Canis lupus familiaris: one gene and its partner. The protein of the gene in region 1 interacts with the protein of each later gene in a biochemical or structural test. Links are inferred from orthologs where the notes say so. Each region holds a gene or a part of one and is shown on either strand. Other genes may lie near its edges.

Region 1 (8,852 bases):
GTGGCAAGGAAGTGGGTTAGTTGGCAAAGGGTTTTAAGCAGAGAAGAGCGCAAAGCCTTCTGAGCCTCCGAACCTGGAATCCATAGGCCTGGGTCTGGGGTGGGGGTCCTGACAGAAAACCCAAAGGGACCCGGACTTCCTGGCCCCAGGAAAGGTCCTGCCTCTGCCCCTCTAGGGCTGTGTATGCTGACACACCCATGTGCCCCCCAGAGTGCTTCTCTGATGTTCCCGGGACCAGGACTCAGTACAAAATGAGAACAGCCCATGATCTCAAGCAGAGGGGCTCACGGGTCCTGGGTTCTCGGCTAAGTCTTCCACCGCGTCAGTAGCAATTCTCCGGTGGTGAGGGACGGACACTCAACCCAGACAGGCTCAAGCAAAGCAAAACAAAACACAAAGTTTGATGGAGAAGACGTACTGGCTCAAACAAAAAAAAGAAAGCTCAGGATACTCCAGCTGCAGGCACAGCTGGATCTAGGAGTTCAGTTGCTGACAGCAGGAGCTCAGGGTCACCATTTCTGTTTTCTTTGATATAGCTTCATCTCAAGAAGCCTCTGTCCTTAAGGGCACCTCCACCCTTACGTCACGCCAACCTCCTTAATAGTACATAGTGTATCTCAAACATCTCCAGTGAAAGTCTCAGATTTCATTTTCATTAGCTCCGAGGGACTCAGAAACCCATCTCTGAACCATCACCCAGCCAGTGGTACTGGGCCCAGGAGCCAGAAGGTAGGTCTCGTCCACTGAACCTCACAGACCTAGAGCCAAGGAGTAGAAGTTCCCCAAAGAAAAAATGAAGGGCCAGCTTCCAAAACTAAGAGAGGTTAGGGTGTTTGGAAGGCACATTCCACAGATGGCCACCCCCTCCCCCAGGCCCATCCTAGCCTTGGAATCTCACATTGTTGTTTTCCTTCTTCCTCAATACCACCTTTATCTTGGTGCTTGGTATCCCAGCACCTGGAATTGGGCTCAGGAAAGTTTTCCTAAATGAATAAAGGGCTTACAGAAATTCATGCCGCATCCTGGTGACTCCTAAGCGTGGCCTGTATCAATTTTCTAGGGCTCCTGTAAGAAGGCAGCACAAACTGGGAGGCTTAAGACATCCAAAATTTATTCTCGAACAGTCCTGGAGGCTAGAAATCCAAAATCAAGGTGTTGGCAAGGGCTATGCTCCTTCTGCAGGCTCCAGAAAGAATCCTTCCTCGCCTCTTCCAGTTTCTGGTGGCTCCTGACAATTCTTGGCATTCCTTATCATGCGACCAAGACATTCTAAACTTTTAACCTGATTACATCTGCAAAGACTACAGCTGACCCATGAACAGCTCTGGGATCAGGCAGGGACAACGACCGCACGTGTAGTCAAAACCCTGAGTACAACTTGTGACTCCCCCCCCCCCCCACAGAACTCACCGCTACCGTCATCATAGATGCTACAGATATAGATACGTTACTGATGTCACAGACAACAAATGAAAGCTATTCTGATGTTCTATGTGTTATGTGCTATGTTCTTACAATAAGTAAGCTTGACGGAAGGGAATGTCATTAAGAAGATCATAAAGGAGGGACACCTGGGTGGCTCAGCAGTTGAGTGTCTGCCTTGGGCTCAGGGCGTGATCCTGGGGTCTGGGGATAGAGTCCCTCATCAGGGCTCCCTGCAGGGAGCCTACTTCTTCCTCTGCCTATGTCTCTGCCTCTCTGTGTCTCTGATAAATAAATAAAACCCTTTTTAAAAAAAAAAATCATAAAGAAGAGAAGATACATTTACAGCCCTACACTGTATTATTGGGAAAAAATCTGCATATCAATGGTGGATCCACACAGTTTAAGGGTCATGTTCATGAGCCAACTATATATCTGAGGGAGCACACATTTACTACAGGTACTAGAGGGTAGGATTTGAACATATCCTTTTGGGGGGGCACAGTTCTCCCCTTTACACGACCGGCATTAAGACCGGCTAAAAGATGCTGCAGTCTCAAACATAATACCTGATCTTGGTGGTTATTATGCAAGAGTTTGTCTGGTTGCTTTCATTTAATGGTTCCCCCACATCCACATGGGGTTACTGGGATTACCACGGCAGGCTCTTAATGGCAGGCGGTGAAAGGGATACACAGGGATCTCATGTGGTCACCCACAAGTCCATTGCCACTAGACTGCCTGTGCTCTCCAGGCACCTTGGGCCCCTAGTCACTGCCGGGCACTGCTACTCCTCCCTCACTTCTGCAGCTGATGCCATTTCTAAATGCGCACCAAGCACCTACACTGGACACCGACGCCCTGGAATGCCAAAGCCATGCATGTTGTAGAGAGTCACAGTCAGGGCGCCTGGGTGGCTCGGTTGGTTAAGCATCTGCCTTCGGTTCAGGTCCTGATCCTGGGGTCCTGGGATCGAGCCTTGCATCAGCTCCCTGCTCAGTCAGGAGCCCGCTTCTCCCTCTGCCCCTCCTCCTGACTTGTGTGCACCTTCTCTCTCTCTCTCTCAAATAAATAAAATCTTAAAAAAAAGAAAAAAGTTGCTCAGCTAAAGCTGCCCTCTGCAGAGGAGCCCCAAAGCTATGTTGTTTAGGCTGCAGTGTCTTACAAAGCCTTCTGGGAAACGGTTAAACCCTGAATGGGGCCAGCAATATCTATGAGCACAACTGAGCCAAGCCCCATGCGAGGCAACAGGGAACAGCGGAGACTGTGGCAAACCAAAGCCCACGCCTCATCTAAACGGGGCAGCTGTGATTTATCGCCAGCTACCGGTTGCCATGTGAAAATTGGCACCCAGGATTGCCAGATCTTTGGGCATTTTTGAAAGAAAACCAGAAAGTCAGATTTCTACATGAAGTCTCCCAAGTTTCAAAATGCTGTCCAGGCTGGATTCAGCCCACAGGCCACGAGTTTGCAAGCCCGGCTTTTGTGAGACAACTTTTTCCATCTTCCCAGCTGTCCACTCTGCAGCTTGACTCTCTGGCTGCCCACGGGACATGGACATGTGTCCAAGGGGGCAGAGCCAGGAACAATCCCCCTCCCCCACTGACCTCAGCCTCACCCTCCCTCAGATAGCCAGGGCTTCTGCTCAGGTCAGGCCCATGGGCCTGGCTCCCTCCTGTGGGGCTAAGTCCCTCCCTCAGGCCTCCTTTCAGATTGAGTGCTGGCAGGCACGTAGCACACTGCCAGGCAAGCCTGTACATGTCTGAAGCCCACTGAGACCCAAGCTTCCGAGGCTTTTCCGGTTCTCAAGAGAAAAGTCCAGACTTGTCACCATGAACCCTGAAGGCCCTCACTGGAAGATTGCTCCTGGCCCTCGGAGCCCACGGCTTTGGTCCTCAAATTGGTCCCTGCTGATCCCAGTCCCATCTCTTGACCCTGCCCTTCAACACCGCCACCCTTTTTAGATAGAGGGAAACTCCCTTCTCCAGGGCGGCTTGCGGTCTTCCCTCTCTGGACCTCTGCACGCAGGGTGCCCCAGACTGTGCCTGAAACGTCCTTCCCACCGCAACCCCCACCCAACACTCCTGTGTCTCTGTAGGTGGTAGCTCAGAAGTCCCTTCTCCCAGGAGGCCTCCCCTGACCATCTATACTAGTTTAGGGGCTGAGGACAGATGTTCTCACAGCCCTCCAGAGTTCCTCCTTAGCACTTAATTGTCTTTCCCGAGGGAGGGAGGGGACATCCCCCTTGGGCAGGGACCATAACCCCTGTGCTTCCAAGTATGCGTCTCGCACCCAGCATCACGCCGGACGCCAAGCAAACGCTCCAATATCTGCAGTGGGAAGAAAGGAAGGAAAGGAAGCGGGAAGGACGAGGGGAGAGGGCGCGACCCTCCACCTTCTCTGTTGCCACATCTCTTGCTCTTTCCTTTCCTGCCCCTGTCTTCGCCGCTCTGTCCTTATCTTCAGAGTTCTGTCGGCGCCGCTGACCGTCCGTTTCGGAGCTGGCGACCCCGTCTCCGCGCGGCCCCTCGCCCTCGCCCCCGCCGCGGCGCTCCCAGCCCCGCTGCTCCCCGACTTCGGGCGCCCACGGTCCAGGCGGGTCGCGCCCGCTGTCTCCCGCGGGGGGCGGGGGTCCCGAGGCCGGGCGCGGGGCTCCGGGGCGGGGGAGGAGGGGAGGAGGGGAGGAGGGGATGGGGGGGAGGAGGGGAGGGCCGGGGGAGGGCCGGGCCGGGGCGGCGCGGGGCGGGCCGAGCGCGCCCCCTCCCTGCGCCGCCCGCGCCCTCCCAGCCCCGCAGGCCACATCTGGCGGCCGCCCCATCCCGTGTTTCCGCTGCATCCAGACTTCCCCAGGCGGCGGCTGGAGGCTGCGCATCTGGGGCTGGAGCCGTACAAAGCGGCAACGGGCGGCGGCGGCGGCGGCGCGGGCCGGGGCGCGGGCAGGGGCGCGGGCAGGGGCGCGGGCCGGGGCGCGGGGCGGAGGATGCGCCGCTGAGCCGGGCGAGCCGGGCCCACCGAGTCGCGCGGCCCCTCGGAGCGCAGCGCAGCCCCAGGCAGGAGGCGCCGCGGCCGCACGCACCGAGCCAGCGACCCCCCGGGCGACGCGCGGGGCCCCGGAGCGCGATGACCCCGGAGCGCGGGGCCCGGGGCGCGCTGGCCGGCCCGCTGCGGGCGCTCTGCGTCCTGGGCTGCCTGTTGGGCCGCGCCGCCGCCGCGCCGTCGCCCATCATCAAGTTCCCCGGAGATGTCGCCCCCAAGACGGACAAAGAGCTGGCTGTGGTGAGTTGCGGCCCGGCCCCGGGAGGGAGGCGAGTTGGGAGAAACTCCGGAGGCCGAGGCTCGGGGTGGGGTGGGGGTGGGGGTGGGGGTGGGGTGGGGTGGGGGGGTCTCCGGAACAGCCCCCCCCGCGGTGGGCGCGCGGCGTGGGGAGGAGCTTCTGGAAACCGCTCGGTGGGGGGTGGTCTTTGGCCGGCGGAAGGCGGGATCCCTTTTGCAGCCCCTTGGTAATCGGAGAAGGCCTTGGGTAAACAACTTGGCAACTTTGAGGACCCGCAGGGTGGGCGAGGAGCCAGCGGTGGCAGGGCCGGGATGCTTTGGCCAACAGCTGGAAGGGACCTCCTTTGTAAATAAAGGGGCATTGTCTTGTAACCGGGGGATTTGGCAAGGGGGCCCGCTTTGTAAACAACTTTTGGACACATCTGGGGGGTTGGCTACGGGCCCTTGGCCCTTGGCAGGCGTCTTGCTCGGCCTTTGGCCAGCGGTCTGAAAGGGGTCTCTTGAAAAGGGAGGATCTCTTGATCCCGCGTGAGACTTTGAGAAGAGGGTCCTTTGGCGCCCAATTTGGGTTCACTTTGGCACACATACGGATAGGAACTCAGGGCAAAGCAGAGCTTGGCCACCGCCAGGGAACCTTCCGCACACATCTGGAGAGAGGCCTTGGAGGGGATCTTTTGGCAAGTATTCGTGGGCCGGAGGGAAGCAAAGAGCGCATCCTTTCCACCTGGCTTAATGGACAGTTGGCCCGGAGGGTCAAGCGTTGCACCTCGGAAAGTTTCCTCGAACTTCTCCAGAGGCTTGGAGAACCCGGGAGAGGCTGGCGGGCCAGGCGCCGGGAGGGGCAGGCGCACGAGGGGCCCCGGCGCGTGGGGCGGGGGCGGGGGCGGACTGAGCCCCGTGCTGGTGGGACCGCAGCCAGCCAGTCCTCCCTCCTGGCGGGGCTCCGGGCTGTGGCTCAGAGCTTGTTTTGCCAGCGCGCTCGCCTGGCCCAGGAGCTCCCTGGACCGGCCGCAGCGTTACTCAAGGGGGCTGGGGGCATCAGAGGGGCGCTTCCTCTCACCCTGTAGGCGCCTGGAGCCTCCAGGGGTACCTCCCAGCCCACGAGACATCTGCTTCTTTACTGCTTCAGACGCCCCAGAAATCTATTCTCCTTCATCCTGGCCCTCAACCTGCCCAGGACAGGACTTTTGCACCCCCTGGTCACCCTAGGAACCCCTTCTCAGAATGTGATGCCACCACTCCCTCTCCCTGCATATAAGCTTCTGTCCCTGCTGGATAAATAGGTTGGGAGATCATACTTGTCTTTTTTCTTTTTAAGATTTTATTTATTTATTCATGAGAGACACACAGAGAGAGGCAGAGACACAGGCAGAGGGAGAAGCAGGCTCCCTCTGGGGACCCCGATGCGGGGTTTGATCCCGGGACCCCAGGATCATGCCCTGAGCTGAAGGCAGATGCTCAACCACTGAGCCACCCAGGCGCCCCGAGAGACCTTACATTTTTAGGGGGCTACTCATTTCAAGGATCTGGAGCTGGCATGCCTGATGATGTGGCTGTTGCCTGGGGCTGGGCTTTGCAACACTGACAGAGCTCCCCGGGTCCCCACACCTCCAACAGCATGCAGAAGTCCATGTTGCCCCAAGGCCATGCAGTAGGAGGCTTGAGGGGCAGCCTCTGGGCTTAGGCTGCCTGGCCTCTCATCAGGGCGTCATGAGCGGCCAGCGTCCTTGGGCAAGTGACTTCATTTCACAGTCTCAGCTGCTTCTGCAAACAGCATGAGAGTGGGGTCTCAGAGTTAAGGGTGAGGCCATCATAGAAACCTTGAAGGGCCCCTGGCCCATGGTAAAGCCTCAATGGGAGATAACCGTGGTCATTATTCTCATTGTTACTATTATTTTACTCTTTCTTTCCCTTTCCTAGCTACCCCCACCCAAACAGGGTTAGGGCCTCTGTAATAAAGTCTCCGGGCTCTTTTCACCATTCCAACATAACACACCTCACACATCCAATTTTGCACAGACTGTGGTCCATCCACCTCCCCACGCTGGGATTTGCACCCTGGAGACTAGAAACACCTGTCATGTTCACCAGTCTCTCCCGAGTACTGAGGCACAGGTCCTGGCACATGGCAGGGAGGCAAAAACCTGAGCTGGTTGGTCCCTGAAACTCCCTAGGGGCCTGTTTAGTTTAGGCCTCAGCGAGCACGGAGCCAGATGAGGACAGGATGATCTTCTTTTTGGAAATTACAGCTCTAGGATTTGAACACAGGTCTGTCTGCTACAGGAATCCATGTACATGAGCCTTGAATATCCTTCTAAGGAAAGTGAGAAAACCAAATCCCTCTGTCTTCAGCAGTTAGGTGAATTAAAAGAGATGGTGGAGGTAAAGAGGAGAGGCAGAGAGTTATACTTCCGAGCCTGGGCTCCAGAGCCAGATTGCTTGGGTTCAAATCCACCCTCTACCATTTGCGAGCTGGGGGATCATAGGCAAATTTCCCAACCTCTCTGTGCTTTACTTATTTATTTAAAGATGTTATTTATTTATTCATGAGAGACACACAGAGAGGCAGAGACGTAGGCAGAGGGAGAAGCAGGCTCCCTAAGGGGAGCCCGATAAGGGACTCGATCCCAGGACCCCGGGATCATGACCCGAGCCAAACGAAGGCAGACACTCAACTGCTGAGCCACCCAGGTGCCCCCTCCCCTGTGATTTAATTTCTTTCTCTGTATGAGGGAGATAGCAAGAGTAACTGCATTACAGAGTTGCTCTAGGGGCATCTAGTAAGCTCCCAACACGTGCCCCCAGCCATGTGTCGTTACAGCTTTCAGGTCACTCAGTGAGTGACAGAGCTGGTTTGGGAACCTGGGATTCTATCCCAGTGCCGTTAGGTTCCTGACTATTTTGGTCAACATTATGTTATCCTAACATGGCTGCTTGCCTCGGGCTGTTTGTTTCTTCCAGCAATACCTGAACACCTACTACGGCTGCCCCAAAGAGAGATGCAACCTATTTGTGCTAAAGGACACACTGAAGAAAATGCAGAAGTTCTTTGGGCTGCCCCAGACTGGGGAGCTTGACCAGAGCACCATCGAAACCATGCGGAAGCCACGCTGTGGCAACCCTGATGTGGCCAACTACAACTTTTTCCCCCGAAAGCCCAAGTGGGACAAGAACCAGATCACATACAGGTGCGGAGGCAGGGCTGCAGGCAGTGGGGTCCCAGAGCTGGGGGACACTGAGTGTCCTTGGGCCTTGCCTTCTCCTTTGTGGGGACCCAGGGTGTATCCAGTGACAGCCTGGCATCTTCAGAAGTTGAGTCCAAAGTTCTTAGGAACTGGAGTGAGACCAGAACTTGAATCTCACACTAGCCTGGGGGCAGCAGGCTGCTTGGCTTGCAGTGCTCTGAGCCTTGGCTTTCCCGTCTATAAAATGGGGCTAAAACACAACCTCCTCTTAGGTTTGTTGGAAACTAAGCTTGGTCACCGATATAAAGGGATATCCTAGCACCCAGCATACAGTGAGAGTGTAAGGAACGCCAGTCACTGTCCTTATTAGAGGGGCTCATAGGGTGGGTGAAGGGATTTGATGATTGGTTGTTGAGTTTTATATGGTATTATAGAGTTGTTATTATCGGTTGTTAATTGGGCTGAGAGCTCCCTCTGAATGACTCATGTTGGATTCCAAGGGTGAGATCTCTGTCTCATAGCCTTCAATGCGCTATTCATGCCCCCCCCCTGCCACCCACCAGCCGGAGGTGAGAAAGGAGACTCTTGAGCCAGGTGTGGAGATGTGGGCTGGTCTAGGACTTCACAGAAGCCCAAGGCATTCTGGGTGGACTGTTCTCTTAGCTCTGCTCCACATGCACACATGTATACCTGCTTGTGCATACACACTCATGCACACTCATACATGCCTGCAGAAACCTATGCACCCCTTACACGCTTAGGCACAAACTTACATACCTGCATACATGCACGCACATTTGCACACATTCATGCATGGTCACACACGCACACTTGTACATGTACTTGCATGCTTGTGTGCATATGCACACTCCCGTTCCCTTGTACACCCAGACACACTCACATGCATCTCCACCCCCTGCAGGATCATTGGCTACACACCTGATCTGGACCCTGAGACAGTGGATGATGCCT
Region 2 (8,996 bases), on another chromosome or scaffold:
CAGACATAATGCTGGGCTTGGTACCCATAGAGCTTCCGTTCCAGCAGCCAGTCTGTCCAGAGGCACTCGTTAGGGGCTGAGATGGTACAGGGCACTGTATAGCAGGTGGTAATCTAGAGTCATAGCCACACAACATCAACATGAGTAGGGTGTTCTTTTTCCATTATTGCCTTTCAGACTCCTACATATGCTTATAACCCAGCTCAAATGCCCCTGACTTCTGAAGCCTTTCCTAGTCCCCAAATTTCCTCCTGAGTCCCCTTTCCCCAATTTCCTAACACACAGTATTGCCTCTCTAATGGTATCTTTGGAGTCAGACAGGCCTCAGGGTTCTTAGTCTACCACTGACCTTGAGCAAATCGCTTCACTTCCTATAGCATTAATTTCTTTGCCTTAAAATAGAAATCTGAACTCTTCATAAATTTGTTATAAAGACTAAATTAAATATTTTAAATAGATAGACATTACAGGACCTGGCAAAAAGTAGACTCTCTTTAAATGGTAGCTATATTATCTCATTCTTTATATGATGGCCACCTTCCCAGCCAAAATGTAAGTACTTTGGGATCATGGACTATGGACCATCTTGCTTCCCCATCCCCAACTTCATACAGAGCTTGGTCCATGTATTTGGTTCAAATACAGTACAATACATGAGTAAACACATGCACAAAGGAAGGAATACATGAAAAGTGAGGCTGCAAGGCTCAAGACCCTTCCCTCACCCCCCAAAGACCTTGCCAATGGACATTCCCTTACTTGGCAGCCACAGTTCAGATGGTAGTGATGATTCAGACTTTCTCTCTGCAAAAAGGACAGGTTCTCCCAAGGTTCGATATAGTTGCACAGGTGGATGAAGACTTTTCCATCACTGAGGACCTGACCTTCAAGGGGAATGGAGGAGAACCTAGCATGAGGAATCTGCTTGTGGACCTCCAGGAACCCAGGTCCTCAAAGAGCTCAGAAATGCCGCTTCTTCAATGGCTTCTTGGTGGCATGAAGCTCAATTAAAGAACCAGAAAAAACTCTGTAATTTACATATTAAAGATGTTAACAGATTATGTTCATATGAGAGAGAGTTGTAGGATGAAGGCCTTTAATGTGGTGCAGAGAGCTTTAAAGTCAGACTGTTGGTACAACCCCCTTTCTCTCATTTACAGCTGTATGACCTTCAGAAAGTCACATGACTTCTCAGCTCAAAGATGAAAGTAGTAAGTTGTCGTCAAGATGAAATGAGAGAATGTAAAGTTCCCAGCACAGCTCGGGCCCACAGAAGCTTCCATAAATAATAGGTCCCTTCCTCTTTCCAACCCTTCCCAACATCTACACAGCCTAGTCTCCTGCCTTGTCGATACCTATCCTGGTGAGTCTCTCCCCTTCCCCACAGAAAAGCACGCCTTCTTTACTTATCAAACCCTTTCCTAGCTTCCAAAGACCCTTTTGAGTACCACAGTGTCCTCAAAGCCATCTCTGACCACCCTAGCCCATATCCCTCTTAGAACTTCTGTCACTCATTTATTCACTGAGCAACTGCTATGACTTAGTCCCAGAAATACATATGACGGAATCTCTTTCCAAAGGAGCTTAATAAACAGTAGGGCAGATAGATAAGTAGATAAAAATTATCCTGTTCTATAAGAATGAACAAAGCACAATTATCTCTATCTGTGGAAGGGGTGAGGGGCAAGGAAGGTGTCTCAGAGGAGATGATGCTTGCATTTGGCCTTGAATGGGTGGGTAGGAGTTCACCTGCCAGACAAATGAGGGAAAGGAATTCTGGACATTTGGACTGCCCTGTGCAGGGTGGAGCGGCACAACCCAGCAGAACACCTTCTGCAACTACAAGTAGTTTATTTCAGCTCTGGGGGAAATGAGGGGCTGGGAACTGTCAATCACACATGGCTGGAGACAAAGCTGGAGAGGTCAGCAGTGTTCTGGTCACAAGGACTTTCAACATTAGACAAAAGAGCTTGTGCCTTCTTCTGAAGAGCATGGGCCACTGATGACTTTTCAGAGGACTTGTATTTTGTCATTTATCCCCACCTATCAGTGAGACTTGACACTGAGGACAAAGAACATGTCTTCTCCTCCCCTGAATGCACCACAGTGCCTGGCAGAGAGCTAGCACACAGAGGGAATGAAGTAAGTTTGTCTATTAATCCTGGGACCTGGAGGCCTCAGTGGCATGCCCTTGCCTCTGTCTCTCTCATCCAGAGGCTCCCAGATCAACACAATTCCACATCCTTAGATCTGGGGAGCCTCTACCAGTGTAGCTTCTAATGGCTATGACTTCTCAAGAGCCAAGCCTGGACTGTGAGCTCCTTGAGGACTGTGGCTTGTCATTAAGTCTCTACACTCCTGCCCAAGGCCTGGCAGTGAGTGGGTGGTCGTTATTGCTGAATGGATGGACAGATAGTGGAAATTCCTTCTGTTCTCCTCACCTGCTGTGTTTTTCTTTTTGTTGCCTTCTTTCCAAATATTTTTCTTCTTTTAGGGGCAATTTAGGTCCCATTTACACAGTGAAGTTTTCCTTATTGTTTACAACCACACAGATACCTCTTTTCCCTAAACTATAAAATAATTTAGTATTGTGTTCATTCACTCACAGAGTCATATTCTTGTGTGGTTTCTTAACTACTCTGTCCCAACCAGTTGAGTATGGAGACCTGCCTGGGCCCAGGTTCATAGAGATTTGTTAGAATTGTTAGATTCAAGGCTTCTGTTAAAGACCGTGCTTTACTGTACCCCAGAATATGGTCTTTAATGTGAGTTAGCCAACGAGGCTATGAGCCAAGATCATGACCCAACATAGCAACCTAAAGTTAATGCCATTATAGACTACAGTAACTATAGTATATATGTTGTGGGGCAAGGTTGCACATGCACAATCCTTGTTTGTTCTGTGAAACCAAGGCATCACCTATAGTATACAGTGTCCAGTTTGGGGTCCTGTGTGAGGGTAGGGACAGGGACAGTGTTTATCCCATTTTGAGAAAGTGGCCAGGATAGGAAGGGGTCTGGGAACCATGACCAGCAGGCCTAGAGCTAGAATGCATGTATTTATGGTCCTCAGGCCTGTGAGGGATTATCATAGGCAGAGGGCAGAACTGAATTCACAAGGGGCAGTTTCAGAGTGGCATATTTTTGGCTTAAGATATCAAACTTAACATCAATTAAAATTGTTTGAAAATGGAACCAGCTGCCCTAGGCTGGGAGAGCAGCTTGTCCTTAAAACAGTGAAACAGTGGCCAAGATCACTGTAATAAAGACTCTTCATTGAAAGAAAGGTTACCACAGCTTCTCCCAACTCAGAGGCTGCCTCTTAGTAATACAACTCTGTTTTATGCCCAAGAAAATGCCACCTAGCTCAGCTTGCTGCCCAAGGAGCCCTGGCTCCTTCTTGACTGCTTTGCTTAGGACAGAGACTATTAGGGCCACTTGTTGGTCTTTAACTTACCAGTCAAGAGATATTGCTTCTGGCTGTTAGCTTCCAGTTTCACACCACAGAGGGAGGAATCAAAAGGTGTATAGATATACTGAACATCCTTGACTTTCTCAAACCCTTTAAACATCTGAAAGGCAATTACAAAAAACAATATTTAGTCAGTGAGTATACTTTTTATCTTAACAGGAAAAACTCACTTCTCAATCTAAAAAAAAAAATTTTAAACAAAAGTCTAGTTCAGGATTTGGCACACACAGATGGCCCACCTGGATCATTTCTCTCTTATGAAAAATCTAAACTTTGGTTTATTCCAGTGAGAATACCTCTAGTAGCCTCACGCATAGGCAGCTGTAGGACTAGATGGACCCCTAAGGGCCTGTGGGGCCTCCTCCCTGCCACTTCAGCATCAATACCCCAGGATCAATGAGCCAGGTTGCCTGACCTACCAGCCCCACTCCCAGTACACAGACCCCACTCCTCCCAATAGCCCGAGGGGGTTAATGCCCTGTCCTGTCCCCATGTACCTTTATCTGTTTGATTTCATACCGGATCATTTTTTGAGTGTCAGTAGGATCTGGACTGGCAGGAACTACCTTCTCACTGGATATTTTGGCCCTTATTGCTGCATAAGAAGAGAAAAGAGGGGAACTTCAGCAACCTGTTGAAGCAGTTCCATCTGGCATCTGGATGACCTCAGCCCCCTGAAGAATTTTATGAGGGAATTCTGGGTTTAGGTCTTGTTGGATTGTACGGAGGACCATGTATATAAGAGTGGGGACCTGTAAACTCCTCCTCTGCAGCTGCTGGAAGTTCTAAACCCCTCAGGCCTATTAGGTCTCTTTAGAATATACTTTATATTAAAGTATAATTTCTATACTTTACCTGCATAGCCTAGATTGCAGTGGGTTGGAGGTGGGCATCAGGATAGAAGAAGGAAGAGGAGCCCCTTGAGAATAGTCAGTTTGCAGTCATCTACTTACATAGTCTGAGGCCTCAACAGAGTCCACCCAGACCTGATGTTGGTAAATGTTTATTGAATTAATAAATATGTTCTGACCCTGCACAGAGGTAGTTTATCTCTCGCCATTTGGGCATTAATCAAAAACTGGTTATAAAATTCTTCTCTGTGCCTGGTCTAACACTAGGTAATAGTACTAGTCCATACATATGGTTAGGACAGGGTCTCCCATCCTGCAGAACTCTTGGTCTAGTAGAGAATACATTTACAAAGAATAACAGCACAGTATACTGGCAGTACAAAAATGTTAGGGATACTGTGGTAACACCAAGGAGTCAGGAAGTCTTCAGAGAAGAGATACCTAAATAAGACCTTGATGGATGAATAGAAGTCTGCCAGAAATTTAAAGGTATGGGGGAAGGGCATTCCAGGCAAAGGAAAGGGAAGGGGCAAAGGTGTGTGTATGTTGGGGTGGGGTGCATGGAGTAAACAATTATAGGCTTGGTCACAGTGGGATGTTTATAATGAATGCCCAGTCCCCTGGCCCTTATTTCCCCCTCCCCGCATCCAGTAGTTCAGAATAATCACTGGATAGCTCCTGTGACTTGTTCAGGGACACTCCATAATTGCAGTAGGCAGGGGGCAGGGGTTCATTAAGGGGGTCCCTTACACTTTCATTTCCTTGCAAGTCAGCCAGGCTCTGAGCTTGCAAGGTTGCTATGGCGCCGGCCCTGCCCACCCATCAGCCCCAGTAGGAGGCAACTGGTGCAGTATTTGATCTCCTCCCTTTTCCTTCAGACTCCAGGTCTACAGCTCAGCCCCAGACCAACCCCACACAACCACCCCCTGCTGTGGACCTCTTGGGCCTCCGGACTCACCAAGCGCGGAGTGGCAGACGTGCTGCTGGGGGTGCGCAGGGGCGCAGCTGCACGCCTCACCCATCCCCGGCGGCCGCAGCAGTGCCAGCAGCCGCAGCAACAGCGCCCAGCTCGGCGCGGTCCGGGGGCCCCGGGGCATGACACCGCAAAGCCCCGACTGAGCCTGCGAGGACTGTCAGACCAAACAGACCCTCCAGGGCGCATCCAGAAGCGTCGCGCCCCCCACCCCAGGCTTTTTGAGGTGGACCTAGGAGCAGTCCCGCCCGGATGGGCTCCTCCCTCCTTTGGCAGTAGGCCACCCACGGCTGCAGGACCCACAGCTCTCCTGACTGGCAGGCTCAGTAAAATGAAGAGGGAAGCCAGGAGAGAGGCCTCTGGCCTCTATTTCCCTGCCTGAGCAATTAAGCCTTATAGAAGTAGAGGGAAAGCACTGAGAAAGGATGGTGTCAAGGCAGAAAGAAAGTGAAACAAAGACAAATGCACGAGGGCAGAAAGACCCAGGGCTTGTGATTCACTCTGAAGGAACAAGAGTGAGGAGAGGCACAAACAGAAAGTGAGACAGGCAGAGTCAGAGAGAGGCAGACAGAATTACAACAGGCAAAAGAGACAGTGACAGAGAGGACGGACCTCTTGCTGAGCTGCACACTGGGAATGAGACAAGCTACTCAGGGCTTCTTTCAGCTGCAGGAAGTGTTTTCAATGCCCTATTTATGAGGCTCCAAAGCAACAGCAAACAGTAATGGAATAGGACAGAGAAAGTTGGGGTGTGTGTGTGTGTCTTGGCGCTGTTGGCTGGGGGGTGGGGAGAGATGTCAGAGAAAGCAGCCTGTGCTTTAGAAACCCTTTCCCATATCCAGAGCCTCAGACTCTGCAGATGGCCGAGGACCGTGCTCCTTGCGGGCGTTATCCCATCACCTAAAGCAAACCTGGGACTTCAAAGCCCTCTCCAGACCCTGGATTCTCAGACCACTGATTCTTGTCTCGTGTCATTATTCACTGGAGAAGACTGAGTCTTGTCAAAGAACCAAGGCTCATGGGGTCACTGCAACCAGAGCCTTGTCTGCTCTGTTTGACAGAGCATAGGGCTCCAAGTCTCCAAAGGATAAGAGACCCAGGAGATTATTGTAGGATATTCCCACACAGTGCTGAACTAGAAGGTGGAAGGCTAGGTTCTGATTCTGTCACAAGGTAGCTTTGCAACCTTTGCCTCTCTGGCAACCTCTACCTCACTTTCTTCCCCATTATATAGGCTTGAACTACATGTTTCCAAAGCCCTTTGAAGCTCTTTGCCCCAGCTTCAACTAGTCTCAGCCAGAAATACTGAAATCCTCAGGTTGGGTGTTCCCAGTATCTGTCCACACCCAGAATTCCCATAGGAATCTGACTTTTTATCAGAGTTAACTTTAAGTTTTTCAAAAGATATCTTCCCATTTTGATGTGATAGTGATGTTTGAAAAGAAAAGAATTGAAAGAGAGCTGAGTCTGATTGAGAAGGATGAGATTTGGGGACCAGGTTGATTCCTCATATAACACTCGAACCAAGATAGAGCCTGATGTATTGGATGCATGGGAAAAGGCATCCAGTCCAACCTCTTTGTTTGGCAAATGTGAAGACAAAGTGACTTGTGAGGGAAAGTGACTTGCAGAAAGTTAATGGCAGAGAGGACTAGAGTGCAAATATCCTGACATATGGTATAGTGCTTCTTCCACTCCACCCTAGTACTTCCTCCATCACCACCTTGTAACCACTTGAAATCCTGCCTTTGGAGGATAGTTCTCCTTTTAGGTTTCTATTGTCCTTCTGTTAAAGTATGACTATCCCAAAATAGAGTTTACACTTTTAAGGATGTCTTTCAAATTATAAGCATGCTGAATTCTTAAGTCATTTCTCTTCCAAACCCCAAACTGGGCAGAAAGAGGGCTTAGCATCCTAACGCTGTGTTTGGTGGTGAGTTTGGAGTGTTGGTGAACAGTGAAGACACTGAAAGGAAGGGAAAAGGCCAGGTTCAGAATAGGAAGCTGGACATTTGAAGGGGAAGGGGAGGGTACTAAAAGGTATATGACAAAGGGACATTAAGATTCCAAGATATATTTCTTTTTAAATTCAGGTTTACTAAGATACAATTTATATACAACAGGATTCACCCTTTCAAAGATGCTTTTTTTTTTCTTTTTTTTTTCTAAATTCGCTTTGGTTAAGGACTGATCCTGCCCAGGGTTTGTCTAATGCAGAGATTGAAGCAATGAATTTTGAAGATGTGGAGTACTGAGTGGCAGAACAGGGTTCTTACAGTTCTGCTACTAGTATGCTATGACTTTAGGCAGGTCACTGTCACTCTACAGACCTCAGTTATTTAATTTGTAAACCAAGTAAGTTGGTCTAGTTGTTTAAAGGACCCTTCCAAAGGTGTTACCAAGAAAAATATCTGTAAGATTCCACAGAGATGAGGCACAGTCTGACCAGTTCATTCCTTCCTCCTCTGCTTTCAGCTGACACTGCCCACATTCCCTGTGGTGGTGAAGATTGGCCATGCTCACTCAGGCATGGGCAAGGTAAGGCCATGGTAAGGGTTTGCTATGCTTTGGGGTTGAGGCCAAGAAGGGCACTTTTCAGAGAGCCTTATTATGGATTATTCTGCCTCCTTTCCCCATTTATTCTTTCTAAGGAGATGATTTGGCCTCTCTGAAGCCATGAGTGTTACCCAAACAGACCTCTTCCAACAAGCAGAGTACAGGCCACTCACTTGGGTTCTTGGGCCCTTTACAGCAAGTGTGGCTCCTGAGTTCTAGGAGGGGAAACTAGAGAGGAGGGGTGTCCTAGGGAGATGTGACATCCAGGTTTACATACAGATCGACAACATCGTGATGGGTTTAGAGGCTCAGAGCTCTTGTGACTCTCAGTGTATGTATTGGTATGTCTCCTTTTCTTCCTCTCTGCCTTGCTCCAACATTAGGTCAAAGTGGAAAACCACTACGACTTCCAGGACATTGCTAGTGTGGTGGCTCTCACCCAGACGTATGCCACAGCAGAGCCTTTTATTGACGCCAAGTATGACATCCGGGTCCAGAAGATAGGCAACAACTACAAGGCTTATATGTGAGTGGGGCTGGGGACCCAGCAGATACTCTTCACTTTCTCCTCAGCCCAGTGGAATATCTGAGCCTCCAGATAGCAGCCAACTCTCAGTTTTGCCTCACCTGGACCAAAAGGCAGAGACCAGAGAGAGGGTGCCATTCAAGTCAGGGAATCCTAGCCTGAGTTCCTTTCTAGTCAGAGGAGGTCCCATTAACTAAGATGAGAAATAAAATGAATATTTATTTTATTCATTTATTTCATTATTCATTTATTCACTAGCTTCTAAATGAAATTTGACATCTCTTCAGTTATAAACCACAATAAGCTATTGTAGTAGCAACAGCACAAGTGCCTTTGTTACTAAAGGTAATCACAGAGATTTTTGATTCAAACTACAGTTACGCCAGGTATCTTTAAATACCAGTTATTTTTATCACTACTCAGGAATCATGGTAGTTACTAGAACTGTCACTGCATTTGTACCTGAAAATACTTTTGTTATTTACAAAGAAATATATTGTTCTACTAATTGCAGATTTGTTTAATATTTTGATAATTATTTTAAATAATTGGGTTTCTTTGTTATCTTATGTACTTTATTTTATACATTCACATATCTTATATATTTTTATATATTGA

Evidence for each region.
Region 2: the proteins of MMP2 (region 1) and TIMP4 form a complex in vitro, tested with the Homo sapiens proteins (2 studies listed by BioGRID). The link is inferred for Canis lupus familiaris from reciprocal best matches to the Homo sapiens genes MMP2 and TIMP4.

What each region holds. Positions count from the first base shown.
Region 1 is NC_049223.1:59,768,056-59,776,907, reverse strand, and holds the start of MMP2 (72 kDa type IV collagenase), read left to right. Parts: upstream 1-4,544; 5' UTR 4,545-4,698; intron 4,699-7,656; 5' UTR 7,657-7,731; coding exon 7,732-7,883; intron 7,884-8,802; coding exon 8,803-8,852.
Region 2 is NC_049241.1:6,469,842-6,478,837, reverse strand, and holds the start of TIMP4 (metalloproteinase inhibitor 4 precursor), read right to left. Parts: upstream 5,447-8,996; 5' UTR 5,421-5,446; coding exon 5,282-5,420; intron 4,068-5,281; coding exon 3,970-4,067; intron 3,573-3,969; coding exon 3,458-3,572; intron 885-3,457; coding exon 760-884; intron 114-759; coding exon 1-113. Other genes in the region: SYN2 (synapsin-2), read left to right, coding at 7,772-7,834, 8,236-8,378. UniProt on the Homo sapiens protein: Complexes with metalloproteinases (such as collagenases) and irreversibly inactivates them by binding to their catalytic zinc cofactor. Known to act on MMP-1, MMP-2, MMP-3, MMP-7 and MMP-9.